4 linked regions of the Diceros bicornis minor genome follow. The protein of the gene in region 3 purifies or fractionates together with the protein of the main gene of each other region. This does not show direct contact. Links are inferred from orthologs where the notes say so. Each region holds a gene or a part of one and is shown on either strand. Other genes may lie near its edges.

Region 1 (7,509 bases), on a different chromosome or scaffold from region 3:
ATTCAAATATATTAAAATAAAGCATGCAGGGGAGGGCCCCGTGGCTTAGCGGTTAAGTGCGCGCGCTCCGCTACTGGCAGCCAGGGTTTGGATCCCGGTTGCGCACCAACGCACCGCTTGTCTGGCCATGCTGAGGCGGCGTCCCACATACAGCAACTAGAAGGATGTGCAACTATGACATACAACTATCTACTGGGGCTTTGGGGGAACAAAGGAGGAAGATTGGCAATAGATGTTAGCTCAGAGCCAGTCTTCCTCAGCAAAAAGAGGAGGATTGGCATGGATGTTAGCTCAAGGCTGATCTTCCTCACAAAAACATAAATAAATAAAAAAATAAAGCATGCTAACTAGAGACAAAGCTGTGAAATTTACCAAAGCAAACACCAACAAAAGTCAATATAATTGTAAAGGATCAAGCCACTATGCTAAATACTGAATTTACCCTGTCCTCAGAAGAAGCAATCTATTTGAAGAAGCAGAACAAATGCACATTAAATAATAACCATATCAAGTAGCAGGTACCCAAGGAATAATAAAAGCAATAAATGCAACAGTCAGAGGATGAAACCCAGAGACTGAAAACAAGAATCATAAGTGTAACAACTTGCTACATTTGCATTATACAACTAGGTTTCATAGCACTTTCCCACATTTGTTTGAAATATTAACATTGGAATATTAATATGAGAGCACTGAGGGATATAATAAAAAAATCTCATTTACTCTTCTCAATGATGTTACGAGTCAGGGATGGCAGTTTCATCATCATAGTTTACAAATTAAGTAACTAAATGTGTTAAAGAGGTATAAATGGCTTGCACAGGCTTAATAACTATTAGGTGGAAAGGCAGCTACAGTACTTAAATTCATTTCTTCTGACCCCTAGTTCAGAAATCTTTCTATTCTACTGTCTACAGTAATATTCAGAATATGAATATTTTTAAGAGAAAGAAAAAAAAAGAGAAAAAAATTTCAAAGCATTGGTAGACTTTATCATGATCTTCACATGCACATACCAAGCCAAATTTGACCCTTGTGTACACTTAACTCAAAGATAAACACAGATCTTGGATATTTTTGTTGAAGTGCCTGGAATAACTTTCACCTGCTGTCAAATTTATGCCTTACTAATAACATTAGTGACTGCAATACATGGCAAAGTCTACTACTTATGTTTTATTCTGACTTTGGTCTCACCTAATAGTAAAGTTTAAAAAGATTTATTTGAGGAGAGAGGAGGTACCTGAAATTTCCTATTAGTCTCCACCCCCTCCAAAAAGAGACCTTATAAAGATATTAGAAGATAAAACCTTTAAACAACAAGTTTCCTTTTTTTTTTTTTTTTTTTGGTGAGGAAGATTGTCCCTGAGCTAATATCTGTGCCAATCTTCCTCTATTTCGTATGTGGGACGCCACCACAGCATGGCCTGATGAGTGGTGTGTAGGTTTGCCAGGGATACAAACCCATGAACCGGGGGCCGTGGTCCACTGAAGCAGAGAGTGCCTAAACTTAACCACTATGTCACTGGGCCAGCCCCACAAGTTTCTCTTATGGTTAATTTAATTGGTTGTCAAAACTATCCAATTTAAGTCTGTAATCATTTTCTTAGTATGCATTTTGTCCACAGGTTTCTTAGCATCAAATCCAAATAATACTGGGAGGCAAGTCCATTCACAGCTGTACTCTATTAGCTCTTTCACTAAACCCTGACTTAAATTTGAATTTTTAACAGAAAAAAAAAAGTTAAACTTTTAGAATGCTTCAAGCATTCTTAAAATGAATTTTGTTTTGCATGTAAAATTATAGGTATTACCTGATTGTTCTGTACATAGTTTGCTAAGGAAGCTAGTATATTGTTAAAGCTGAGATACTACTGCATTAGAGACCACCAGGTAAGGGCTAAATTTACAAGTTTCCAAACAGGAATGACAAAAAGCAAGACACACACACATACGTACAAACGGCTTCATTTATTAGGAGCAAGAGCTATGCAAAGGTTGACCAGAAGGCAGTCTTTAGTAAAATCTGCTTTTCTGAAAAACCTAAACTAATGGTCAAAGGTGTGAAGTAAAGCAGAGAATGCTGGATTCTACTCTCAGCCTGTGCCTGAATTTTTTCTGGTACTCAGTTTCCTCTTCTAGAAAAGTATAGGTTTAAAGTAGATGAAGTCTAGCATCCTTTCCAATCCCTGTGTCCCAGCGTCCCCAAAAAAGGATATCGTTTTGGGTTGGCAGTGGTGTTAAAATCCTGACAACTCGCAGATGGCAAAAACGTTTTTAAGTAACAACACGTTAATAAGCAATTGTTTGAAGAGAGAAACCCAATTCCTTCAGACATCGATTTTATTTGGAAAACTTTACTGGACTTGTTTCTGTAGTTTACAAGTTCTTCAAAAAAAGGGGGAAGGGGGTGGAAGACAAAGCCCTCAGATGAACATTGCTATGAGAATATCTGACGCGGAAATGTATGTATATACTACGACCTTTCAAGATGGAATCAAATAAGTGGACTAAAAAACACAAGGTTGGAACAGGGAGTTTTTCAAAGCAGATGGGGATGCAGAATTACAGATGCCTCGGCTCGTCCGAAAGGGCTCCAATTTGAAACGCTCACTTCAGGCCTTACGATGCAACTGATGGCTCTGAGCGCAACGAAACGGCTCTGGAGCTCGGAACGAGGGGACAGGCCAGCCAACGGCCCGCCTGACTTAACCAGACCAAGCCCAACCGGCTCTTATCCAGCTAGAGACGCTCGCCCACCACTCCAGCCTAAGGAGACCCGGTCCCGCCTTAGGACTCTGGGAAATCATTCCCCAATTCCCTGAGGCCTCTTTCCTTCCGCAGGACTCGAGCCTCACTCGATATTCTTGTTCACACTCCCCTTAGCTTCCAAAGAGAAGCCACTGCCTGCTCAATACCCTCCTTTACCTTCTTCAACTCCAGATCCACGGGGGCAGCCATCTTGGTTCACTCTCTGCGCCTGCGCGGTGGGAGAAGGCCAGAAAGAGGAAGCGGGAAGGGCGCGCCTTGGCGGTTTGATAGTCCTCTTTCCTTCTGCGCCTGCGCATGAGTTGGGCTAATTGAGTTTCCTCCTGGCTCTGGGGCTAGCATCCCTTGAAACTTGGGGATTCCGATTCAGAGTCTGTTTTCCCCACGTGAGCGATCAGACCTGGCTTGCTTCGCCACATCCTTCCAGACAGAGCACAATGCGCAGATTTCGCGTATGGTTTTAAGCATTTTGACAAATAGCTTAGTTTGTGCTGCTAAATTGGGATGTATGTGGATCCGGCCAAAACCTCTTCAGTCATTCGGTCCTTCAAGCTAGTTCCTGTGTTGTCAGGAAGAGGAAGAATCAGCCTGAGCCTCAAGCATGCCAATATGAAGACCAGAAGGCTTCGTTGAAGTGTTTTTTGTGCGTGTGTTTTTTTTTTTTTTTTTTTTGGTGAGGGAGATTGGCCCTGAGCTAACATCTGTTGCCCATCTTCCTCTATGTTGTATATGGGATGCCGCCATAGCGTGGCTTGATGAGCAGTGCATAGGTCCGCACCTGGGTTCCGAACCTGCGAACCCTGTACCACTGAAGCAAAGTGCATGAACTTAACCACTATACCACCAGGCGGGCCCCTGAAGTGTTCTTCCAAAGAACTTATTTGTACTGAACGCTCCTGGAAGACTTTCTAGACACGTGGTTCTGAAAAGAGGCCAAATAAGTTTGTGGAAAAAAATACAGATTCTCTGGTCTTTATCCCAAACTTAATTTAGAATCTTTCAGATTGGGGCCTGGAAATTTTGTAGTTTTGCAAACTCCCTTTATGACCTGATGCAAGTTGTCTGCAGACCCCATTTTGAGAATCTTCTGTAAAAGACCCGGCATTTGAACCAGAAGGATGGATAGTATTGGACTTTGGAAATGAAAGAAATGGATGTTTTACCTACTCTAAAAACTTGTGAGGAAAGAGAAAGGGCAGGGAATTTGGAACCAGCAAGATCTGAATTTAAGATTTGGTCTACCTTGAGCCTAGGTCTGTCTGGTTCCATTGGCTAATTGTGTGGCAATACAGTATATCTCCTTATTTAATTTGAGAGTAACAATACTGACCTAACAAAGTTATTGTGAGGATTAAATAAGATCAAGATGAAAAGCTCCAAGCATAGCACCATGCACACAGTAGGTACTCAATAAATAGTTGTAGTTAAGCTGACGTAGTTAGCATTGTCATGTTTGTCTTTCAAGGTGCAGCCCAATGGAGGAGACCAAAAATAATCCCTCCTCTGAACTCTCCTCAAGACTACATCTGTTCCTCTCTCAAAGCACATGACACTTTCTACCTTTAAAAAAAAATTTTATTAGACTGTAAGCTCCTTAAAATCAAGATCTGTGGGATAGTGGTTCCCCCACCACTTATACCCAGAACACTTATCACAGTGCATCACAGGGAAGGGATACAAAATAAACACTTGTTGAGAATGAATTCTTCTTCAGAAGAAAATTTGTCATCACTCTCTAATTTGGGAAATAAAAAAAGGGCCTAATTCTACTCTGGGATTGTCTTAGAACTTCATTAGAGATGATCAATAAATAATGACTGAATATTAAAATTCAAAGCAGGTCTCAGATACTTTCCTATACATTACCTTATGAGATTTTGAAACATTCCTCATAGAGATATGTGCAATGTAAAAGTTAAGAGCCTGGGCTAAGGTGTCAGACAACTTGGGTTCAAGTACTGACCGCACTATTTAAGAGCAATGTGACCTTAGGCAAGAATCTTCTCTCAGTTTTTTTGATCATTGTTCCTTTTTGCATACCACTCCTTCCTCCTGAGTTTAATTTCCTTCTTGATGAAGTAAATCCTTCAGTAGATTCTTTCAGAAAGAGTCTTTGAGAAGTAAACTCTCTTAGTCTTCGTGTTGTCAGTTGAGTTGTGTCCCCACAAAAAAAGATGTATATCCTACCCGGGTACCTCTAAATGTCATGTATCTGGAAATCGAGTCGTTACAAGAGGTAATCAAGTTAAAATGAAGTCATTAGGGTGGGCCCTAATCCAACATGTCTTAGTTCTTCAGACTGCTATAACAAAATACAGACGGTCCTCAACTTCTGACAACTTATACTTCGAATTTTGAATTTTGATCTTTTCTGGGTTAGCGATATGCAGTACAATACTCTCTGATGATCCTGGGCAGTGGCAGTGAGCCGCAGCTCCCAGTCAGCCACGCGATCATGAAGGTAAACCACTGATACACTTATAACCATTCTGTTTTTCACTTTCTGTACAGTAGTCAGTAAAATACATGAGATATTCAATGCCTTGTGTTACATGATTTTGTCCAAGTGTAAGTTAATGTAAGTGTTCTGAACATGTTTAATGTAGGCTAGGATAGGGGCCAGCCCTGTGGCATAGCAGTTAAGTGCATGCACTCTGCTGCTGGCGGCCCGGGTTCAGATCCGGGCATGCACCAATGCACCGCTTGTCAGGCCATGCTGTGGTGGTGTCCCATATAAAGTGGAGGAAGATGGGCACAGATGTTAGCCCAGGGCCAGTCTTCCTCAGCAAAAAGAGGAGGATTGGCATGGATGTTAGCGCAGAGCTGATCTTCCTCATCAAAAAAGTAATAATAATAAAGGTAGGCTAGGGTAAGCTATGATGCTTGATAGATAAAGTGTGTTCAATGATTTTCTTTTGTGTGTGTGTATGTGTGTGTGAGGAAGATCAGCCCTGAGCTAACATCCATGTTAATCCTCCTCTTTTTGCTGAGGAAGACCGGCTCTGAGCTAACATCTATTGCCAACCCTCCTCCTTTTTTTTTTCCCCAAAGCCCCAGTAGATAGTTGTATGTCATAGTTGCCCATCCTTCTAGTTGCTGTATGTGGGACGCGGCCTCAGCATGGCCAGAGAAGCGGTGTGTCGGTGTGCGCCCGGGATCTGAACCCCGGGCCGCCAGTAGCAGAGCGCGCGCACTTAACCACTAAGCCACCGGGCCAGCCCCAACGCATTTTCAACTTACAATATTTTTAATTTTTGATGGGTTTATCAGGACGTAACCCCATCATAAATCGAGGAAGATCTGTACCACAGACTGGGTGGTTTATAAACAACAAACATTTATTTCTCACAGTTCTGAAGACTGGAGTCTAGGATCAGGGTGCCAGCATGCTTGGGTGAGGGCCATATTCTCGGTTGCAGACTGCTGACCTCTCACTGTGTCCTCCCTTGGTGGAAAGGGCAAGGGATCTCTGTGGGGTCTCTTTTATAAGAACACTAATCCCAGTTGTGAGGGCTTTGTTCTCATGACTTAAGCATCTCCCAAAGGCCCTACCTCCTAATGCCATCATCTTTGTGGGTAAGGATTTCAACACATTCAGACCATAGCACAATATGACTTGTGTCCTTATAAAAAGGGGAAATTTAGACACAGACATAGATATGCACAGAAGAAGGACTATTTGAAGAGACATAGGAGAATGCCATGTGAAGATTGTAGTTATGCTTCAGGCTATCAGAAGCTGGAAGAGGCAAGAAAAGGATCCTTCCCCTATAGGTTTCAGAGATAGCACTGTCAACACCTTTATTTTGGTCTTCTAGCTTCCAAAACTGTGAGAAATAAATTTCTGTTGTTCTAAGCCACCCAGTTTGTGGTACTCTGTTATGGCAGCCCTATGAAACTAATACACTTTGTATACATAAAATTGTCTTAATTTCACTCTTAATTTTAAATGACAGATTAGCTGTGCATAGAATTATAGACTGACAATTATTAAAGACATTTTTCCATAGTCTTCTGGCTTTTATATACTGATAAAAAGTCCTGTCAGGCTGCTTTTCGTGATTTTGTTAGAAATCATCTGTCTTTTCTCCGGTGTGTTTTAAGACATTCACTGTGTTTTGCGTTCTACCTTTCCACTTTGGTGTGTGTGTGTGTGTGTGTGTGTGTGTGTGTGTGTTTTCTTTATTTTTCCTGCTTGAGACATAATATGCTTCTTTAATCTGAGAATTCATGTTAATTCTGAAAAATATTCAACCAGTATCTCACAGAATGTTGACTCTCTGCCATTTTCTCTCATGACTCCTACTAGAACTCCCATTAGAAATGTGAAGCATCCATATTTCTTAGCCTCTATTTTACACTTACTATCTATTTCCTGAATCTTGTGTAATTTATTCAATTCTTTCCACCAATTTACTAATTCTTTCTTCAACTATGTCTAATTTCCTGTTTAAACCACACCTTGGGTTTTTATTTCAATAATTATTGTCTTTAATTCCTGAAATTCTATTTGACCCTTTCATGATAAAAACACTCAACAAACTAGGAATAGAAAGAAACTACTTTAACATAATAAAAGCCATATATGAAAAACCCATAGTGAACATTATACTCAATGGTGAAAGACTGAAAGTTTTTCACTAAGATCAGGAAAAAGGCAAAGATGCCCACTTTTCTCACTTCTACTCCATATAGTACTAGAAGTTCTAGCCAGAACAATTGGGCTAGAAAAGAAATAAA
Region 2 (7,343 bases), on a different chromosome or scaffold from region 3:
ATCTGTGATATCAAGTTCTCTGAGCTCACCTACCTCGATGCATTCTGGCGCGACTACATCAATGGCTCATTACTAGAGGCACTTAAAGGTGTCTTTATCACAGACTCCCTCAAGCAGGCTGTGGGCCATGAAGCCATTAAGCTGCTGGTGAATGTGGATGAGGAGGACTATGAGCTGGGCCGACAGAAACTCCTGAGGAACTTGATGCTGCAAGCATTGCCCTGACCTTTTCCCCTTTCTCACTTCTCTGGGGGACTGTTCCCACCACCCACCTCTGGAGCTTACATACTGTTCTGGGGTTTGTTCTCTACCCTTCCAACCAATCACACCCCTGCCTTTTTTTTTTTTTTTTAAAGGAAAAGACAAAGGAAAATGGAAGTGGTGTTCCCCACCCCTCCCTGCACCCATGTGCCTGGGCTTCCCCTTTGTTCCCCTTTTCCACTTATCCCCCTAATGTATGTCTCTACAGCCACCTTGCCACTGAGCCGTAAGACAAATGTATAGAGAGAAGCAAAGTCTATGGAACATAGTCTTTGTAAGGGATTGAAGTGAACACTGCTTTTGGGTGCATTGAGGGGTTATCAGTACTTCTGGCTTTATGGGGGCTCTTAAATTTTGTCTGAAAAACCAAAGGGCTGTGAGTAAGGGAGCTATGTGGAAGGTGGGACTCTGAAGTGTATTTTGGAAATTAATCACCACCCTCTCCCAAATTATAGAATTTTTAAAAAACAAAGAAGCTGTGGCCCTTTCCACTCTCTCCTGGCCTCTGGTGCTGCTCCTCTCTGCCTTGTTTCCTCCATTCCATGGCTTGAAACCTCTGCCTGGTGTGGTTCCTTTTCTTCCTTTGTCAAACCCTCTTCAAGGGAGTAATAGGTAAGAGGACTAGGTCAGCCTAGTCGCCTCTCCCAACTGTGGTGTGTGTGTGTACACACATACACAGGGTGGATGGAGAAGTTGTTGCTAATTAAAATACACTCCCCCTAAAAAGGGGAAGGGGGAGTGTGACACTTTCCTTCCATGTTCAAGTGAAAATAAATAATGTACCCTGCAGCCCTTTTCCCCTTTGCTTTCTTATGACTTGGGCAAAGGGCATCATAGGTGAAAGTGAAGTAATTCAATATCAACTCCTTTCTTCTTTTTCCTTCCCCATCCTCTACCCCCAATCCCACTCCCAAGCTTGGGAGCATGGGGCTGGGACATGCACTGAGTGTTGCACTTTTATTTAGGTGGGGAGGCATGTTGAGTGAGCCAGGAAGCCTAGAACTGGAGCCCAGTCCAGCTGGTACAATACCACCTCCCTTTCAGCTCCCAGAGGAGATGTCCAGACACAGACTTTATGATTATATTTTTTTCAATGCCAGTGCTGCTCAGCCCTCAGCGTAACTTCAGTTTTCATGAAATAAACAGTGACTACATAAAATTCCACTTTTCTGAAACTGAAATCTGAGCTCAGGTGCAAGTTTCTTCTTTCCCAAGAAGCTGAGCCTGTGTTCCATCAAGAGAGTCAAGGTTCCCCAAGTGAGGGGAGCTGTGCCTGGGTCCTGCCTACAAGTCACAGCAACACCAGCTCACAATGGGGGTCTCAACTCACAGAAGTCAAAAGTCTTAAGACCGTGGGTGACCCAGATTGCCATAGAGGTCAGGCCTGCGATGCTGGAATACAGGCAGGTGTTGGCGCAACTGTCGCAGATAATTGAGGTCAATTCGGGCAAGGCAGAGGCCTTGTCCCTCAGAGCAGCGGGCCACCACTGTTCCCCAGGGATCCACCACCATGCTCTGGCCATAACTTGATCTCTTCTCATGGTGGCGTCCACACTGTGCTGCTGCCACTACATAGCACTGGGTTTCAATGGCACGTGCCCGCAGCAACACCTGGGGATGAGGAGATGTGTGTTCGCGTAAGTAGACACAGGTGCTAGTGGGGAAGTGATAAGCAATGGACATTACAGGCCAATATACCCATCGGGGCCATTCTGATAATTGTTTAGGAATGATTTATTTATTCTTTAACATAAGTTAGGCAACGATCTGGGGAATGAATTTTCTCACTAGCTGGGAAGGGGAAGAAAGTCTTTCAACTGGTAGGGCCAAGGGAGAAGAATGAGGTCAAGAGAAGGCCCTTATATTTTGAAGAGGTGTCCTCTTACCTCCCAGTGGGCTGGGCCTGTTACAGATCCAAAAGCTGAAGGGTAGGTAAGTATTTCTGCTCCAGCCTGAGCCAATGCCAGAGACAGTTCAGGGAACCGCATGTCATAGCAGATAGCTAGACCAACCTGGAAAGAAAACGAGCCTAGTTAGCCCCCCTGTCCTGTGTGTCACAGCATCTAGTTATACCCCTGCTACCCATTCCTTAGGGCTTTCTATCCTCTACTACCAGGTCAAAGTATTCCTAATTCCCCTCCCTCTTGTTTGCCCACCCTTATCCTTTCACAACTCCCACCTTGCCTGCTGGTGTGCTGACAGGTGACTCAAGACTGGGCCCAGGCAGGGTAGAATTGCTTTCACGCATAGGTCCCTGCCCTGGAATCTCTACGTCACACAGATGTGTCTTCCTGTAAGTGGCCACTACTGACCCTAGAATAAGAGAGAGAAGGAATACTCAGTGCTGGTGCTTTAGAAGCTCAGCTTAGTTCTTCTCCTCCCAAGGAGGAGACAGTTTATAGGTATGAACAGAAGTACAAACACCCTGAAACCCTAGGCCGAGGAAATAGAGTTGAGAAACAAAACAGAATTCTGGAGAATCTTAGTTTAGGTAGAAGAGCCTGCGAAGAGGCAGGCTAAAGAGTTATGAAGTCTCACCCTTGCTGTTCAGAAGCACATGACAATTGTAGATTTTCTGAGTCTGCTCCCAGTCTTGGCCACGCTCATGGAAACCACCCAAGGACAGCCAGAGTCCACATTCCCTGGGAGGAAGGGACACTGACAACTCTTCTCAAGGCTCTACTCATATCTGGCAATCCAGGGACACTGCCCAACAAAGAAACTACCTCTCCCTCCCCCTTTCCCTGATACCTGGCAAGCTGGGTATATTCTCCCAAAAGGTTCCCATCCAGTGGCTCAGACAGGCGTAGCGTCTCTGCAGGATCTCGTGCAATGAAGTCAAATGCCTCAGGCAGAAAAGCCAGGCAAGAGCCCAGTCTGGCAGCCTCTCGAACTAGCTCAGCACAAGTTTTAAAGTTCTGCTGTTTGTCAGGTGTCGATGTTACCTGGCACACAGCCACAAGGGGCAGTTCACAGGAGGAGGAGGAGATAGCCATGGCTCTGGGTCTGTGGATGGCACAGGCAGGACTCACTTCCCAGCATGGGGAAATCCAAGTTTGATGATGAAGGGATCAAATGGGGAGGAAGGAAGGCTGAACTGCCCTTTGATTCTGTTCTCACAAGGCACAATGACCCACCAATCAAATGTTCTGTGGATGGCTGGTAGCCCAGTGTTTCCCACCATCCATTCATTTAACAAACACTTATTGAGCACCTGCGATGCGCCAGGCATTGAGGACACAACAAAACACGGTTACCTGGGCTGAGCACAAAGTACTGAGAGTCGAGGTAGCCGGAGTCCAGGACACAAAAGAAGGGACAGGAGCTGGTGAGGAGGCCTGATGATGAAGCCCAGCCTGAGGAAGATGAGAAATCAGGAAACCAACCCGTCCCTCAAGCGATAAATCTCTCGGATTTTCTGACTTCTCTCTTCATACTGTGAGGCTAAATCAGGGCTCTGCCAGGAAAAACTCCCGTCTTCAAAACACTCTTTACTATAAATAATTATGGGCTACAGGAAGAGATCATAAAGTGGGAAGATGGAGAAAAGGGCTCTGCTCGGCACCTGAATACCTCGACTTCTAGTGATCTCACATTAACCTGAAGCCCTTGTCCTCTGCCAAACTTTTCTGCAGTTCAAAAGTCACCCCCGAGAAATTTCCTTGGTTTTCTCAGCCTCTCTCCTTGACTGTGCACCTGCACAGCCTTACTGACTCAAAGCATATTTTCCCCATTACACCACAATCTCTGAGTGGAAGTTCACCCTCCCTGGTTCCCCACCACCCCGTGGTAGGCAAGGGGCACCGGCACCCGAATCCCAACCCGCGCCCCCACTCTCCAGTTGGCCCGTCCTTCCCCGCCTCCCTCAGGGGTAGCGTCTCTGCTGCACAAGTTAAAGCACCACAGGTGGAATTCACCGCGGCCAGCGGGCTAGGAAGCAGGTCCTACATGAAGGTACTGCCAAAACCATTCGCAGGATCCGAACCGAAAAGCGGCCTGGAAGCAGAGGCGCCGGGGGCGAGTGGGCGGTAACTCCGAGACCGGACGTGACGCAAGGCGGGGGCTGAGCTGCGCACGCCGGGAAGCCAGCAGGCGGCGAAGATGGCGGAGAGCAGCGGTCGCGCCGGCAAGAGCAGCGGGAGTGGCGCGGGGAAGGGGGCGGTGTCGGCAGAGCAGGTGAGGCGCGGAGAACGCGGAGGGGGCCAACGCGGCTGGGCGTGGAGTCGATGCGAGAAGAGCGGGGAGCCTGAGGCTGGTGCAGGCCCACATTTGCGTGGCCGCCGAGAGAGGGGAGGGTACTTGGAGAAGCTAGCCGAACCCCCGGGGAGAGAGTGGGCGGGTTGGTGGGTGAAAGCCACGCCCCCCTTGGGGTGTTGGTGAGCCTGGGGGAGGGGAAAGCCCTGAGATGCAGGGTCTGGGAGGATGCACAGGTCTGAGGGGAGATAGTCGTCACTTTCCCCACCTCTCCGCACCCTCAGACGGGGTGTGTATGGCAGGGCAAGACAGCTGGTAACGGATCTCAGGGTATTAGTCAACGGGCTGGTTGTGTAGTTTGTTACGTGACCCTGAAACCACGTTGACAGTCGCCGTCACTCTGCAGAGCCACGTGCGTGACTCACATACTCGATAAGTCTAGTGTTCCATACTATTTTAATTTGGGAGTCATTGTTAGATTGAATTTCTTTAGAGACCAGAAACCGTTTTTAATCCGAGTTTGCATTTCCCCCAGTGCCTGACATCGAGAAACGTTTGATAAATTAATTAGAAAGCCCTTTGAGGCTTGGGAAACCATGGTTTGCTGATAGTGGGGCTAGTGTTTAATAGAGGTAAGAAACCTACATAATATAAAGAAAAACGCAGTTAAACAACAGCTCTTTAAATTATAGTTTTATTTATCAGTTATTTGTTGAACAATTACTACAGGCGAGGGTATCTGCATAAAGATTTTTCAAACTGACCTATGCAGTCAAAGAGCTCATAGTCTGGTGGGAAAATAAGACATACAAAATGCTAATATGAGGCAGAAGATAAATTTTATCTTTAATAAAATTTATATTATAAAATTTATAAATTAAATATGAGGTATAAAGTGCTATGGGGTTTTGGGGAGGGGGGAAAGAGAGAGTTTCTGGCTTAAGGGAAAAAAGGGAAGTGAGAGGGAACCTAATACCCTTTTTGAGGGTCTGCCATGTGCCAGGAGCTCTGGTGGGTACAGGGAAACAGATAAATGAAATAGACTTTGTTTTCAAGTTAGCTCCAGACTCATTTGAGAAAAGACAAACGAAACAATAAGATGTACAGGGTTACACAAAGGCCCTTCTTTATGGCAGCTAGAGGAGGGACCTCTAACTAAGCAGGAGGTTATGGGATTTGAGGCATGGGTGGAGAAGGCAAGCTGTGGTATAGTGGGGTGGCCAAGAGTGTCAGAAGTGCACTGGGGTCAGTGGGGTGGGTCAAACCTGTGTTTGAATCACATTTCTCCTGCTTACTGTCTATAGATGACCTCCCATGAGTTAATTCTCTCCACCTTCCCCTCCTATAAAAACATAATGGTACCTACCTCATCACTGCGTTTGATTATTAGGCAAGACAATGCATGCAGTGTTTTGCACAGTGACTGTAATATACTGTGTATTTAATAAGTGCTAGTTATTTTGTTTTCTAGAGGAAATAATCCTTCAGCTCAATTCTAAAGGATGAGAGAAGTTAGTGAAGCAAAGAAGGAAGTGAAGGATTTTCTAGCTAGAGAGAATAATGTGTTTAAGAGCACTAAGGCATGAAACTGCCTGACATGTTTGGGGTGCAGGTGGAGTTAAAGTTTAGGATGGACTACCAGACTTGAATGTGGAGAAAAAGGGATAAAAGAGGATGTGTCTCAAGTTTTTGTCTTTGATGGATGCTGGTGCCATAGGGAATGTAGGAAGATGGACCAGTTTGGGGGGAAAATAAGTTCATTTTAGGATTTTGAGTTTGGGTTTCTTGTGGGACATCCTGGTAGAGACATTTAGAAGGCGGTTTGATTTATAAATCTTGAATTACAGAAAGAAATCTGAGTTGGAGATTCAGATTAGAGAACTATGAGTTTATGAATGGTAGATGAAACCATGATTGTTGATGAAGTCATCGGGGATTTGTACAGAAAGTGAAAAAAGAAGCAGAACAAGGGTGGAACCAATAGTTAAGGGGTTAAAGAAAGAGAGCCCTCAGAAGGGACTGAGGAGTTGTGATAATTGAGTTCTGAGGCTGTTCCTTGCTTAACATTCTCTTGCCTTTGTGCTTGTGTTCCAGAGAGAACACTGGGTAAAAAATAGAAGATTTATCACTGCTGCAAGTTTGATCCACATATGTCCCTTATAAACAAGATGGAAGCAAGTAACACATTGTGCTAGGCACTTCACTTGTTTTATCTTCTGTTATTTAATTACAGCCATTCGAAGTAGGTTGTATTGTCCTCCCTTTATAGATAAGGACATTTGAGTTTCAGGGGCTTCAGTGAATTTACCCAAAGTCAGTAACTGGAAGTGCAGGGCTTTTAATTGAGGGACTTGAGAAGCAGACCTATTTTTTCCGTCTATACTATGATCATATTAGAGATATTTGGGCTGAACCTGAAGGATTGGATAGATTTGAACAGGCGGTACTGGAAATAGAATGTAGGGACAGAGTAGGAAGAGGAGAGCTAGGGAAAGCTTAACTTGACACAAAGTGCAGTGACTGCTAAATTTGTTTAGCTAAATCATGAGGTGTAAGTCAGAAAGATGTGGCCATTAAGGCAAGCTGAGTCTTTGCATGGCAGAGAATTTAGGACTTTTTAATGTAAGCAGTGAGGGAGTCACAGAACGATATATATTATACTATTGACTTTTTTTCCCTGTTACATAAAATAATACATGTTCATTGTAGAAAATGTAAAAACACAGGAAAAAGTACAAAATAAGAAATAAATTACCCATGATGGTACTAGTAGTATCCAGAGATAACTGTTCTTACCATTTTGGAGTATATCCTTTGAGAGGTTTTTCCTCCCTCCTTTATGTTTTTGTATATGTGTGTGTAGATGGAAAGAGAAGGCATGTGTATTT
Region 3 (7,763 bases):
CCTCAATCTCAGCCACGATGGCCTCCTTAATGCGCTCCCGGGTGAGGGCTTCACGGTCAAAGGCAAAGTCAAAGGGTGGGGCACAGTCAGGCTCATCATCAGGGTCATGATACTTGGCCAGGAAGGGGTGGCGAAGGGCGGCAGCTGCGGAGATGCGGGCACTGGGCTCGAAACGCAGCATGCGCCCCAGCAGTGAGAGGGCCTGGCGGTCAGCCCCTGGATACACTGTCTCCCAGGGCACAGGCTGGCGTGGCGGCAGGCTCTGGATATAGGCCCGCACCCTCTCAGCCCCCACAGCCTGAATCACAGCCGGCGAGGGGGTACCCAGCACCATCATGATCAGCTGCAGCTGGTGCACGTAGTTTTTGCCTGGGAAGAGCTGGCGTCGGGCCAGCATTTCACCAAAGATGCAGCCCACAGACCACAGGTCAATAGCCTGCGTGTACTCGTGCAGTGAAAGCATGAGCTCAGGGGCACGGTACCAGCGCGTAGCCACATACTCAGTCATGAAGTACTGGTGCTCAGCAGGCGAGGTGCACAGGCCGCGGGCCATGCCAAAGTCACCAATCTTGAGCTCGCAGTTCTCATTCACCAATAGGTTGGAGGGCTTGAGGTCGCGGTGGATGACCTGAGCTGAGTGCATGTACTTGAGGCCCCGCAGCAGCTGGTACAGGAAGTAGCGTACGTGCTCCAGCGTGAGCGGCTGCGAGGAGTGGATGATCTGGTGCAGGTCACTCTCCATCAGGTCCAAGACCACATAGCTGGAAGGGGCAGGGGAGACAGGCATGGGATGTCTCACCCACACTCCAGCCCCATCCTCACCACACCCTCCCGGCTTCAAACATGTAATGGCCTTACCCTTGGACTCTGTAAGGCCCAATGGCATGGTATGAAGATTCTAGAATCTCTACAACTTTTCCACGAGCTTAAGTGAAGTTAAATCGCTTTTCTCTCCAGACCTAGTTTCCCCATCAGAGAAAAGACGGGGTTGGATTAAACCAGGGCTGGCCAAATAGGTTTAGTTTGGGGGTCATCTCCACTGTTTGGTAGTGCCTGCTTGAAAGACTATGATGAAAACAGTGACGGCTTGTCCGTTTTCTGCAGGAAAGTGTTCTGTGATTGATTAGTGAATCTGCTATGGGAGTAGGAGGGTGCAGTTATAGTACGAATGTCCCACGTTTACTATCCTATATACTGAGATTCTATAAAATTGTCTGTACTCTTCTTGAGGAATCACAGTTGTCCCTGGCAAAGCCCTAAGAGTGCACTGGTCCTGGAACTGTGGGAATTTTCCCAGCCTGCCGCATATCAGGTTCAGCTGCCCTTCCAGAACTTCAGCAATATGGCCCAGCCTTCAGAAAAGGACCCAGTTTTGCCTCCCTCGCCCATCCTTGCTCCTTACACAGACTTGAACTCCCCATAGGGCACGGTGGGCCTCAGGATGTCCTTGATGGCAATGATGTTGTCGTGCTTGAAGTGTTTGAGAATCTTCAGCTCCCTGAGGGTCCGCTTGGCATTGGTCACCACGTCAAAAGCATTAGGGATCTTCTTAATGGCCACCTGCTGGCCTGGGGAGTAGGGAAAAGGCAGATACCATCTAGTATGTTGGGGTAGGTGCAGCGTGGCACAAGGCCCCTTTCAGTACGCAAATAACCCCTTCCAGGATGCAAATAACAACAGCTACTCTATACTGAGCATCTACTACGTGCCAAGCCTTGTGCTAAGCACTTTACATAAACCATCAGACTTTCTCTCACATCTCTTCCCCCAGGCAGCTACTAACAGCTCAGAGTTAGAGTTAAGGACACCTTGGCTCAGTAACCTGTTGGGGGCTGCACAGCTAGTCAGCAGCAGCCTAGCTGCTAATGCCTGTGCTCCTCCTACCTGCCCACTCCCTCTCCATCTCAGGCCTCACCCTTCCCACCACCAAGCCCTCGCCCGTCTCCGGCTCCAGAACGCATTTCCCTTTTGGCAACCAAGGACGAGATGTCCATCCTGGTCTAACCGGGATCGTCATCTGCTGAGGAAGTAGGCTGACGGGCTGGCACCACCACCATTCCAGAGCTCCAGAGCCTATGCCCACCAGCGCCTGGCCCCCGGACGGCACCGGACCGGCTCTGCTGACTCGGACCAGGATCTACACCCCGCTCTCCTTGCTGTCCGGGGCAGGCTTCTCCCCCTCGCGGGCCCGGGCTCCCATCGGTGGGCGGCGCCCGGCGGGAGCTCACCGGTGAGGCGGCGGCGCGCAGAGGACACCACCCCGTAGGCACCGTTGCCGATGGTCTCGATGATCTCATACTCGTCGCCCACGTCAAAGGTCACGTCGAAGGAGCGGGCTTTGAGCAGGGCCAAGTTCTTGGCCGCTACCGAGGCAGCGGTGGTGGCGGGCTCCGCCTTTACCGGCCCGGGGGGCTCCCCGGAGCCGTCCTCGCCGTCTTCCTCCTTCAGGGGCTCGGCCATGGCCTCTGTGTGGAGACGCGGGAGAGGAGGGGCCCACCCCCCCGGGCCTCCGTTTCCCCTCGGTGAGGCTGGGGAGCAGGACCAAGAGATTTCCGAGTTCCCTGAGCCAACCGGAGCCGGGGAGGGGGCGAAAGACAGCGGCTGGCCCGTATGAGACGCCCCACCGCGGTACCCGGCGCCCGAGCTCAGCTCCGGGCGGAACGCAGGGTCGGCGGGGGGAGGCGCCGCGAGGCGCGGTCCAGGAAGAGAGGGAGGGGCGGGGCGCTTGCTTCTCTCGGCCGCACTCACCGAAAGGCGCCTCCCCTTGACGCCTCCTCGGTGCTCTCGGGGGCTCCCGGGGCTCCCCGGCCTCCCGCCCCACTGAAGAGGGACTCCAAGAGCCGCTCGCTCACTTATTCAAGGCCACCGCCACCACCTCGGCGTCTCGCCCTGCACCGCCGGTGCCCCGCCCCGCCTCCCAAGACCACGCTCTCTCCAGCCTCTGGCCAATCGCTGGGCGGCCTCTGACGAGGTTCCCACCCTTTCTACTTGCTGCGTCCAATCCGAGCCTGCCGGCAGAGGAAGCCACGCCCCTCCGCGCGCGCGCGCGCGCGCGCCGCTGTCCCGCTCGCCAGCGGGAGCCGCCCAAAGGGCGCTCCGCGCTTCGCAGGGCTGCGCTCCCAGCCCTGCGCCGCCCCTTTGACGCATGCGCGCTGGCAGCCCCGGGCGCCGCGTGAACGGAAGGCAACGCCGCCGTACGTGCGCGCGCACGCGCATCCCCATCTATCGGCTCCATCTCCTCCTACAACCAGGTCGTCGTAGCTGGTTACCGGAGCTCGGAGAAGTTGAGACGCTTGGGACTGTTACCTGGCGGCCGGCTCACGAAATCCCCCTTCTTTAGGCCCCTCCTCCCTTGTCAGTCCCCATCGCCCAGGGGATTGTGTCACTTCCCCCATTTTCCTGATCGGCCAGGGAGCCCGGCTCGGAGAATGCATCATCCCAAGTAGAGGGTGATCCATCACGTCCCACCACAGAGATCCCGGTCCTCCGGGATTCTAGAGCGTCCGGTCTGAAGCCTCCACTGACTTCCGGTGGCGAGTCCTCCCTGCACAGCTTCTGGCGTGTCGTCTCCGCACGGTGTCGCTGTCACACGGCCCCCGCGGGGTGGGCTGCGGGGGAACAGAAGGGGCAGCGGGCCCAGGCCCCTCGGGTCAGCAGAGCCCGCACAGGAAGCCGGGTGCCCTCACCTGCTCCGGAGCCCCGTGGTTCATTCATTCATGTAGCAAATATTGATCCAGCGCCGTGGCTGCAGGGCTCAGTGCCCGGGAGGCAGAGGGGACATGGTGGGCAGTGGAAGTGATACCGGCTCAAGATAAGGTTGACATAAGGGAAGCCATATTGTAGAAAAGAAAAACTCTACTGTAACTTCGAATGACCTCTGACAAACTAACCCAGCTGGATATGCACCCTCCAGCAGATCTAACTGCTCTGTAGATTTTACGACCCCTGCTTGTGCATGTACCTCCCAGCTGCAATAAGATGATAACTTTGCTCTTTTGAGTTCCTTAGGAATGTGATAACCCCCGAACAGGGAATCTATGCTGATAGCCATCATCAGTGAAAACTGAAAGATCTCATGTGGCACTCCCGGTCTGTAACACCAGAAGGTCAACATTCCTAGCCCCCTCCCCTATAACCCAATGGCCTATATAACTGCTGTAAGATTTCATGCCCCCTTAAGATGGTTCTTTGGGACATGAGTCGGCCATCTTCCCTCTTGCTAGCCTTGCTAGCAAGCTGTAATAAAAAAGTCCTGTTTCTCCTACCACCTTGCCTCTTGACTACCGGCATGTCTTGCGGCGAGCAGAAGGCCCCACGCTGGGCTGTAACAATTTGGCGACCCAGATGGGACGTTAAGTCCTGCTCGTGGCTAGCCGACCTTGGATGGGCAGCTTGTCAGGTAAGTCCCTAGGGGCTGCCGAGGCTCTCTTTGTCTCAGGGATCTGCCCTACCTGCTCTCCCGTGCCGACGCCGGCTGCCTCCTAACGCTGATGTGGTAGGAAGAGAAATGGCTACATCTGGTGGGTCAACAGGCTCTCATCTGGAGTAGGGTAAGTCACCTTGGGGGTCCACCACTGAGAACTTTCCTTCTCCTCCATCTGGGGTCTCCTCTTTGAGAAGGAGGACCATCTGGTTAATAGGGTGCCCTACCGGAGTGGGAAGAGGAATAGGACTTCACCCAGATTCTAGGAACCCGTTTCATTGGTGTCTATGTCTGTGTCTGTCTATGTCTGTAAAGAGCTCCAGGATCAGACGTCTTTTGGATTTGGGTGAGTGACTTTGTTTAAATGCGCCTGTGCCTAAAATCGTCTAATATCTTGTCAGGATTGTGGGTTAGAGGCCGTACTGGTGAGATTTGGCTACTGGGTTAAAACCCAAGGCTAGGATTGTGGGAGACAATATAAAGGTTACAGCCGCTGAGGCACTCAAAAGGATCGGGTTACAGTCCCGAACTCTGGGGTAGGGTCCCAGAGATTGGATTTCTGTATCTGTTCATGTTTGTCTACCTTTGACTGTGTTATTTGTTGAAATTGGCTGCTTGGGGACTGATTTTCTCGGTGACTGCAACAAACTGCCTTTTAGACTAATCTTATGAGAGTCTTCTGACTCTGAAGAAAAGAGGCACTGTTCTCTCTGGTCCTTCAGCACGTTCCCAGGTGACTGGGGACTTTACCGAGGTGTCAGGCTGTCTGCCCATGACGTGCAATGGCCTCATAGGGATGCCTCCTGAAGAACGTGTCTTACTGGGCCTTCATTGTTCGTGGTGAGGCAATCGACAGCAGCAGCTCATCCGGGGCTTAAATCACCTGAACTTGGTGGGTGCAGGGACACATAAGGGAAAGAGCCAACCCTTGATTATTCTTGGGGGAGCTGCTCCCACTAGCTCACTATCAGACCTTGTTTGTTGCGGCCACCTTGATAAAAGCGCCCCCTAAAAGGGAGATAACTGCAAAAAGCTGGCAAGATGACCCGGGATAGTTTAAAATTACAGTGGCCACTTTGGGCTCTGTTTGAGCCTCCAAACCAAGGAACAAGGAAAAATCTTTAATCTTTAAAGAGTCAAGGACTGCACCTTTTGACCAAAAGTTTCCAAAAGGTGTAAATGTTTACAGTGAACAGCAGAATCTTGCCAAGCTTGTTTTGTGTCCTGAGGGCTTGGCTTGATAACTGTCAGGTTGCGGGAGGATCCCAAAATACAGTCGGACGAAATAGGGTGCACCTCATTTTGCGGTTAGAGATAGTCTGACAGAAATGCGGATTGCGCTCCCGTTTGTGGCTGAGTCCTACCAAACTGCCATCAGCCTCAGGGGAATTACATTGGCTATTTGAAGAAAGCCTTGGCTGGGCCTTCATTTAAGGGTCTTATTTATTTATTTTTCCCCTAAAGCCCCAGGCGATAGTTGTATGTCATAGTTGCACATTCTTCTAGTTGCTGTATCTGGGACGCGGCCTCAGCATGGCCGGAGAAGCAGTGTGTCTGTGCGCACCCGGACCCGAACCCGGGCAGCCTGCATCGGAGCGCGCGCACTTAACCGCTAAGCCACGGGGCCGGCCCTTAAGGGTCTTGATTTTAGGGATGGTTTAAATTTTCGCAATCTGATTCTAGCTGCAGCATAAATATACTTTTTGTTTTTTTTTAAGGAAGATCAGCCCTGAGCTAACATCCATGCCAATCCTCCTCTTTTTGCTGAGGAAGACTGGCCCTAAGCTAACATCTATTGCCAATCCTCCTCCTTTTTTTTTTTTCCCTTTTTCCCCCCAAAGCCCCAGTAGATAGTTGTATGTCAGTTGCACATCCTTCTAGTTGCTGTATGTGGGACACGGCCTTAGCATGGCTGGAGAAGCGAAGTGTTGGTGCTCTGCCCGGGATCCCAACCCAGGCCGCCAGTAGCGGAGCGTACGCACTTAACCGCTAAGCCACTGGGCCGGCCCCACATAAATATACTTTTGACCAGTCGTGTCTAAATTCTCAAACAATGGGAGACCCTAATTCGATCCCCACCTGAAACGCCTTAGGCTGCATTCTCCTGAATTGGGAGACTTTCAGCTACAAGTAAGCAGTAGGAGCTACTGAATATTCATTGGTTTATTGATCCTTCTCCTCCCAGAGACGGTCACTGTTTTCCCTTGTTTCTGTTTTTTGTGTCATTTGTCATAAAGGAAAACCCTTAGAGCAAGATGCAGGCAGCTCCACAAGCCTGCTTTCTGGGTGGCCGGCAGTAGCTCTGCCGCAGGGCCCGCCTGTGGAGTACGCCCATAGGTGGAAGCTGTTGCTAACAGGGCGTCTTGGAAGCCAAAAGAGCCGCAATGTTGGTGGGCACGGGCCCAGCAGTTAAGAGCCATTAGGGTGCTCGCCCCCTCCAGAAGTCTCCCGTGGAAGGATAAGTTGGTCACGGAATGGGGTAGATGACGCAGGTCCCCCACCAACTTCAAGAAAATGTCCGTGCAATGACGAAGCACTCTGTAAAGCACACACAGTCCCCAACCCCGTGCTACCTCCCCCCAGGTATTAGTCTGGCTCCAAGAGACCCAAAGCATAGCTAAAGCTGTTAATGTGCATATAAGATGAGATTTTGTTCCTCTTTTTGTTTTGTTCTATGTCTTGAGAACTTGGCTTTGTGACCTCTTTGCTCATGAGGGGTCTCAGTCCATCAGGGACCTTTGTTGTCTCAATCTTTGTTGTTTGTTGGTGCACTACCGCCTGTGCAGCGAAGGCCTTTGCTTTCTTAGGCTGTTTTTCGGGAGTGAACTTTCTGGAGCTTGTGAGGGCTACTCCTTTTGCACTCTCTTTTGGGGATGCCTTATGTCCATAGTTAAGCCATAAATGCTTGTAGATAATGGGATATTAAAAACTGACGAGGCAGATATCCCCCAGAAACTCCATCTTGGGGACAACTTGAGTGGCTTCTCTGTGCCTTTATGATGTAGTTGGACAGGTAGATCAACCTATAATGTCTTTTCAGTTACAACCCAATTTCTGAGAAATTAAGAGCAATTGTCCTTAAAAAATCCTTGTAAGACTGGAAAAGCAGCTCTAGAGGCAGTTCAGAGTCCACCCAGTTCCTTTATCTCAAAAAGGCTTATTGCCTCACCTCTCTGGGAAGTGTTATCAAGCTCATCACAATTTCTTTTTTTTTTTAATTATATCCATTTATTTATTTTTCATTTATTTATTTATTTTGTGGGGAAGATCAGCCCTGAGCTAACATCCACCAATCCTTCTCGCTTTTTTTTTTTTTTTTTGCTGAGGAAGACTGGCCCTG
Region 4 (7,153 bases), on a different chromosome or scaffold from region 3:
ACCGAATAGCATTTTTAAAATGTATACTATATGTTGGTCCTTGAAGAAAAGCTAGTTAATTAGATGAGGATCAAGAACTAGATGAAAATACATGGAAACTTTAAGGAGATTCTATAAGAGCCTTCTAGTACTGTAAAGAACTTTAGTCCTTCATTGTAAGTAAGTTAAATTCAATTATCTTATGGTTTATGGGATCTCTAGGTCATTATTCTTCTCCACACTTACTAGCTATGAGGGAATATTTTAGCTTAAGCAAAGCAAGGAGAAAAAGGAAGAGAAACACAGCAAGGGAGTGAACTATGAAGCCATCAAGCTAGAGACACAGTAAAAGAAACTGAAAAGGTGAGGCTGAGGCAAGGGCTGAGCTCTGCATGTAAAATGGAGATACCATCTTCCTAGAAGGGCCACTGCAGGAAAGAGAAATAAGTCAAAGTTTCTAGCACATGGTACCTGTTATTAGGAGCTTAGAGTCTAACATGGAGAAGTAATTATAGCAGCATAGGACTGTGGTTAAGAGACAGGGGCTGCTTGGTTTGAATTCTGGCTTCACCACATACTAGAGGTGTTGACCTTGGGTAAGTGATTTAATCTCTCTTTTCCTCAATTTCCTCATCTGTAAAATCAAAAAAAAGTACCTTTCCTCACAGGGGATTAAATGAGTTAGCATGTGTAAAATGCTTAGAAGAGTGCATGACAGCTAGGAAATGCTCAACAAACATTAGCTATCTCTATAACACAATGTGCTAAGGGAACAGATGAAAGTACCAAGAATTCCGTCTTGCAGCAGTGGTCAGGAAAAACTACAGGGAAGTCATATCTGAACTAGATATGAAGTTCTAAACATGAAGAGGTCAGTAAATGGACAAGGGGGAAAAAAAGCAAATTACTGCACCACTGGGAATGGGGGAAGGGGAAAGCGTGAGGTCTGACTTCTAACCAGTATGGTATACCGCCTCCTATCATCACAGAAACTAATATATATTAAGCATCTACTTGCAATACTGAAAGCACATTCTCCATTTCTCATGGCAACTCTGTAAGTATTGTTATTCCTCTTTCAGTTAAAGAAACGGAGGCTCAAAGTGGTAAAATAATATGCTCAAGATTAAGCAGCAATTGGGAAGTAGAGGCAGAATTCAAACCCTGGTCTATTTAGATGCCAATGTTCTTTCTACAATACCATACTATTCCCATTAGTTTGGGAACATAAAAATAATTATGTAAAATTTGGATTGCTTATTATATCATATTGGTAGAAATTTTAAGGTCTAGAAAAAATAACCCATTAACATTTTAAGATAAGACTTTATAAAGCCCTCATAAAGTTTATCCTCCTGAATTAGATTTTTGAAGCCATCTCCAGCTAAGCACCATGAATGTAGTATTTAAGCCACTATGGAAATTCAATTTGACATCCAGTTACAAGCTTATACTATGTGTCAGCACTGTGCGAGGACCAGGAGAAATGACACTGAGCAAGGTAACTACCTCACTTTCCTCCCAGTAGCAGAGCACGATGTGTAAGTACAGGCTCCAGAGCCCCATAGGTTGCCCAAGTTCAAATCCTGGATAACTCACTTACACCCTGTGTGACTCGGGGCAAGTTACTCAAGGGTTCTGTGCCTCAGTTTCATCATCTACAAAACGGGAATGACAACAGTATCTACCTCCTGGAGTTTTGTAAAAGCATTAGGAAAGTGCCTGGCACTCAACAAATTTTCTCTCTCGTTACACTTAGTTGGGAGATGAACGTAAAGAAATAAATGGCACAGCTCAGGGAGAAAACGCAAAATAACTAAAGAAAATAACTACAAAACTGAATCGGCAAATGCAAATATACAATATAGAGTGTATATAAAAGTGGTATAAATAAAAGAATCAATAAAACAAATGGGTCTTTTGAAGGATGTAAGACACCATTAACAAAAAGGTAGAGATAACACAACAAAAGTACAAACCAAAAGGTCGAGAAAATTCCATTAAGATTTTATAGTAACTCAGCCAGAACTGAGTGGGGAAAGACAGATGATACCGGCTTGGAAGGCCAGTCAGGTTTTCTGTCATTATTCAAACAGTTTTCAAATACTATTTCTAGATTAGCCTGATGGAAAGACAGGGTTGAAAGCATCTACTTGCTTCTCTTTGGACTTGGGTTGGTCTCCCTGTTCTGTGAAGCCTCCAAACTGCATTCCCTGCCTCTTGTCTCAACTCGACACGATTCATTCTCTACTAAGTTGTTAGAATGATGTACCTAAAACCAAATATGATTATATCACGGCTTTATTTAGACACCTTCTAACGACATCCCGTTGCCTACTGGATAAACCCTCAATTCCTCAGCAGAACACACAAGGACTTCACATTTTCACCCTATCCCACTTTTCCATCAGTCTCTTATTCCATTCCTCTAAGGCAACAGACCACCGCATTCCTTCAACAGACTAGGTGTCATTTCCTGTTTTCACACCTTACCAGCAGTTATTCTGCCTACTCATGGTATCCTAAGTCACCGTTTATCTGTCAGTCTCTCCAGCACTTAAGCTGAGTCTCGAGCTTCTCACCGCTTCCCTTTTTCCAGGCAGCAGGGGACGAAACCCTGCGTCCGGGAGCGGGAGGGCGGGTCGGTCTCAGGGACCGCCCCCGCCCCCGGCCCGGCTCCCGCGTCCTCTCGCCCCGCGCCCCCTTCCCTTCTCGGGCCTTCTCGGACCACGGTTCACCCCCGGGCAGAACCCAGCACAGCTCAGTCCGTCCAGGCGTGGAGGGAGAGCGGACGGGGCACTCTCTTCCCAGGTCCTTTAGCTCAACTCCTTTCCCCAACAGTCGAGGCCAGGGTGGGGACCGGCAAGGAAGGGGTAGCCCACGGCCTAGCATCAAGATGCCCAGGACCAGCGTGCTCTTACCACAAACACGGCCTCCGGAATCCCTAGGTGGAGCCGCCGCCCGTTCCCTGCGGGCACTTCACCTAAGCCACAACTGTCCTTAGCGGCCGCCATCTTGGAGAAACAAGCGTGCGACTAACTGCTCCGCCAGCCGCCAGCCGCCGGGGGTCCGTGATTGGCTCGCTCACACCAGCAAGCCCTCCCCTCCCTTGTGAGTCTGCGCGTTCATTGGCGCGCAGGAAGTAGCCGCCCCTTCTCCCTCGGACTCAGCCTGTGGGTGCTGACTGGCTGCGCGCAGGTGAGTGACAGGCGTGGAAGAGCCGCGGAGGAGAAGCTGGTTCCGGGGGAAGGACCAATACAGACTCCTGCGAAAAACGGTCTCGGGGATGTTGTGGGTAGGCAGGGGTGGAGACCCTGGGAATTGGGGACCAAGTCGGACCCCACTCCCACCCCAAAACAGGCAGCACCCTCCAGAATGGCCTTTGAAGTGACTCGATCACCTCTCGAATACAAGCGAACCTGGGAACTAGACGGCACCATGGGGCTTTGGCTTCAGTGCCTTTCTGGTCCCAACATCCCAACGAGCTTCCTGGCCCTTGAAGGGGGCTTGTTTTGTGGCTGTTTCTGGAGTCACTGGCCTGATTCTAATAAATACCCCGCCCATTGCACCAGCCTTTCTTGAAAGCATCCTTTGATCAGAATCTCGCCACTCCAGCTCAAACATTTTCAAAACTTAAGTCTACATAAAATCCTAAGGACTCTTCTGAGGCTTCTAGTCCTAAGGACTTCCCCAGCATTGCCCATCACTACAACTCTTTGAGAGCAAGTGCATTATACATACCCAAGTAATTATTCTTTGGTGTCTTTTCTGACATCTAACCACCATGTTTATTCTTGCCTTTGCTTGCTCTGCAGTGATTCCTAGTGAAGCTGTGCTTCATCCGCACACACAAAGCCTACCATGAGCCAAGCCCTTTATGAATAAAGGATAAATGTCAGTTCCCTTACCTAGTGGGGACACACACAGTGATTAACATTTATTAGAAACCAACTATGTACCAGTCACTGAGTCATGTTATTTAATCCCCACAGCTCAGTGTGAGAGGGACTGCTATCATTCCTAGTTTACATACAAGTAAAGGGCCTTAAAAATGAACCATTTGTAAGATAATAGGATAAATGTTATAATAGTCACATCGGGTAGGAAGGGAGCACAGGTGAAGACACTACCTAAGTCATATTTTAAAATGAGAATAACAATGTGTACCAACAAGGCTGTTGTAAAGATTGCCACACAATAGGGCAACCAAAGAATTTTATTTGGATTATCTTGTTTCACCCAACATCCTGATAAAGAAATAACAAGCAATAGGATATTGGAGTATATGAGGAAGCCATTTGGTATAAAACTAATTCAGCCTGAACTTGTTTTTTTCCAAAAGGGCCTGACACAGCCGTTGAGCATGCATTGTATATCTGCTTTAAGTATTTACTATGTCCCAAAGACAACAACAATGCCCTTAAAGATAAGGATATAACTTCCTCCACATCAGCATTTCCTTAAGGACAAGCATCTTTCCCTAAACTAGGGATTGATTGCTGACCTGCTATGACCACCCACCTCCAGACCACTGACCTGCTGTGTTCATCGAATTGCAGTGCCAGCAAAGCAATCTCGTGACCGTTGTAAAAGGGACATTCCAATCATATGTGATGCATTTGGAGTGACCCATTCCTTTGTGGAAGGACTCTCTGGGGCTATATGGTCCTCAGATCTGGCTCATAATAAACTCACCCCAATTTTGATTTATAGATTGGTTATGGATTATTTTTGTTGACAATCCCAACATCCTTCCTGTCTGGTCATTATGAGCACATATATAAAGTGACCTTGTCATGGTAGGGTGCCAGCAGAATCAGAAAGAGGTTGATGGGGTTCAGGGCAGGCTGCCCCAAGATGTGCCACTCTGGTATGTGGATTATTTCAAACTGAAGACAATCAAGGCTCAGAAGACTCTGAAAGAAACTTTGAACCCCGCCCCCAACTGCCTTAAAGGATTTAAGATAGAAGGCCTATCCCCAGGACAGGCCATCCCTATAGATAACTCTGGGTATGGATAGACTGGGACGGTCCTTGCTAAGCCCATTCTTATCAAAGTTCTGTTTACCAAACATTTATGTTTGTAAGGGAAATCTCCATTTGTAAAGGTATCTCCCTCTCTGTACTGGGAAGAAAGGGGGATGACTTCATCTGTAGAAACTTATCAATGGGGAAGGCAAGGCCTTAAATCTGCATAATAACATTACTCTTGTTTACTGTGCTTTTCTGGTAATCTCCCATAACTGACTCCCCCAACATCCTCTTTTATCTTTAGCTGAAGAGGGTATTTAAGAGGAGAACCTCAGCCATTTTGTCGAGTTACCCAGTCTTTCCTGGCTTTCTCTCGTGTATGCATATTATAAAGCTTTGTTTGATTTTCTCCTGTTATTCTGTCTCATGTCAATTTAATTCATACCTCAGCCAGAAAGGACCCAGAGTGGGTAAAGGATAGTCTTCCTCCCCTTCAGGGTCAAAGAAAAGCCTCTCAAGGCCAAAGAAATGAAGCTACATGCAAAAAGATCCTGGACTAGAGAACCAAGAACCCAAAGTCACCCCAACACTGAGTCAAAGAAGGGGTCAGGCTTGGGAAGCCAGAACTCCATGCCTCAAGTTCCAGGAAGGCAGGCTGCAGCAGGAACTCTCTAGCTCCTAATAGTATAAGGCAATCTAGATTAGTACTAATTAGTACAGACAGTCATAGAAATAGAAATAATCTAGTTGGAGCCTCTCATGTTACAGATGATGAAACTGAGTCCTAGAAAGAGAAAAGAATGTGCCTAAAATCTCACAGAAAGTCTTGGGGTAGAGCAGAAAAAACCCAAATAATTCAGTTCCAAGTCCAGTGTTCATTTTTGCATGAAGAAAGACAGACTTGTGGAATAAAGAATGTCCAGAAACAGACAAGTACACAGGGAAATTTAGTAAATGACAAGGGTGGCATCTCAAATCACTGAGGCAAAGATGTACTTTTTAATAAACAGTGTTGTAACAGCTGGGTAGCCATTTGCGATGTAGGGGAGGAAGACAATTCCTCTATCCTCTAGGTCTTTCTGGCTGGCCTAAGAATTAAATTGACATGAGACAGAATAACAGGAGAAAATCAGAGCTTTATAACATGTATACATGGGAGAAACTCAGGAAAGCTGAGTAACTCACCAGAATGGCCAAAGCCGCCCTTAAATACCATTTTCAGCTAAAGACAAAGGAGGATGTTGGGGGTAGTGGCTTGGGGCTTCAAAGGGGAGGAAGGCAATTCACATGGAGATGGAAAAGCAAATGTTTGGTAAAGAAGTGTTTGCTGGGCCAGCTATAGACAATGTTATCTTATGGTATTAGCTCCTTCCTGGAACAGGCCTTCTATCTTAAATTCTTTTAGGCAGTTAGGGGGAAGGTCAAAGTTTCTTTCAGAATCTTCTTCTTAAAAATAATCAAGCCAATGAGACACCTTTTGAGGTGGCCAATTATGATCCCTCACAGGGAAAAAATAAAATTAGATTAATATCACAAACTATATACAAGAATAAATTCCAAATGGATTAGGAAAATAAATGTAAAAAAAGTAAATCATATAAGTACGAGAAGAAAATATGGGGTAATTCCCCCTTTAATTGTGGTGTAAGGAAAGACATTCTATGACTTATCCAGGGACAATAAAAGAAAAGGCTGATACATTTGCCTATTTATAAAAAACAACAACATAACTCTTACAAAAATGACACCAGAACAAATTCAAACTGTTAAGAAGCTGGGAAAAAATATTAGCGAAATTGTACCAAAGAAATAGACTAAATGTCATACTGAAAAATGGGCAAAAGACAATTAACAAACAAAAAGACGTAAGAATTTCTTGTAAACATGTGAAAATGTGTTCAACCTCACAAAAACTAATAAATTTCAAAATAAAACTACTCTGTGGGGAAAGCAGTAGGAAGAAAGCAGGCCTATCTGAGAGCTGAGGGAGGGGGATGGGGATGGGGGCAGGGAAAGGACAGTGGACAGAGGGTAGAGCAGAGCAGGATGAGCATGGAGCAAGCGCCAGGGAAAAGGATTAAAGAGCAGAGAAGGGAAGAAGAATGACATAATTAAAAGAGGGGGCAAGGCCAGAGGACAATGAGCAGGAATGGAAATGTGGGACACGGAGCAGTACAGGATAGAGGAAAGGGGGCAAGTTAGG

The links.
Region 1: the proteins of MAPK7 (region 3) and PFDN1 purify together in Homo sapiens (affinity purification with mass spectrometry; 3 studies listed by BioGRID and IntAct, with this or other methods). This does not show direct contact. The link is inferred for Diceros bicornis minor from reciprocal best matches to the Homo sapiens genes MAPK7 and PFDN1.
Region 2: the proteins of MAPK7 (region 3) and PFDN2 purify together in Homo sapiens (affinity purification with mass spectrometry; 3 studies listed by BioGRID and IntAct, with this or other methods). This does not show direct contact. The link is inferred for Diceros bicornis minor from reciprocal best matches to the Homo sapiens genes MAPK7 and PFDN2.
Region 4: the proteins of MAPK7 (region 3) and VBP1 purify together in Homo sapiens (affinity purification with mass spectrometry; 3 studies listed by BioGRID and IntAct, with this or other methods). This does not show direct contact. The link is inferred for Diceros bicornis minor from reciprocal best matches to the Homo sapiens genes MAPK7 and VBP1.

The regions. Positions count from the first base shown.
Region 1 is NC_080740.1:58,601,491-58,608,999, forward strand, and holds the start of PFDN1 (prefoldin subunit 1), read right to left. Parts: upstream 3,007-7,509; 5' UTR 2,962-3,006; coding exon 2,929-2,961; intron 1-2,928. UniProt on the Homo sapiens protein: Binds specifically to cytosolic chaperonin (c-CPN) and transfers target proteins to it. Binds to nascent polypeptide chain and promotes folding in an environment in which there are many competing pathways for nonnative proteins.
Region 2 is NC_080743.1:67,691,579-67,698,921, reverse strand, and holds the start of PFDN2 (prefoldin subunit 2), read left to right. Parts: upstream 1-4,333; 5' UTR 4,334-4,362; coding exon 4,363-4,437; intron 4,438-7,343. Other genes in the region: DEDD (death effector domain-containing protein), read left to right, coding at 1-225; NIT1 (deaminated glutathione amidase), read right to left, coding at 1,606-1,872, 2,148-2,273, 2,441-2,574, 2,800-2,903, 3,013-3,257. UniProt on the Homo sapiens protein: Binds specifically to cytosolic chaperonin (c-CPN) and transfers target proteins to it. Binds to nascent polypeptide chain and promotes folding in an environment in which there are many competing pathways for nonnative proteins.
Region 3 is NC_080757.1:2,122,578-2,130,340, reverse strand, and holds the start of MAPK7 (mitogen-activated protein kinase 7), read right to left. Parts: upstream 3,019-7,763; 5' UTR 2,461-3,018; coding exon 2,229-2,460; intron 1,569-2,228; coding exon 1,403-1,568; intron 1,397-1,402; exon of another isoform or gene 859-1,396; intron 762-858; coding exon 1-761. UniProt on the Homo sapiens protein: Plays a role in various cellular processes such as proliferation, differentiation and cell survival. The upstream activator of MAPK7 is the MAPK kinase MAP2K5.
Region 4 is NC_080781.1:138,789,854-138,797,006, forward strand, and holds the start of VBP1 (prefoldin subunit 3), read right to left. Parts: upstream 3,010-7,153; 5' UTR 2,994-3,009; coding exon 2,901-2,993; intron 1-2,900. UniProt on the Homo sapiens protein: Binds specifically to cytosolic chaperonin (c-CPN) and transfers target proteins to it. Binds to nascent polypeptide chain and promotes folding in an environment in which there are many competing pathways for nonnative proteins.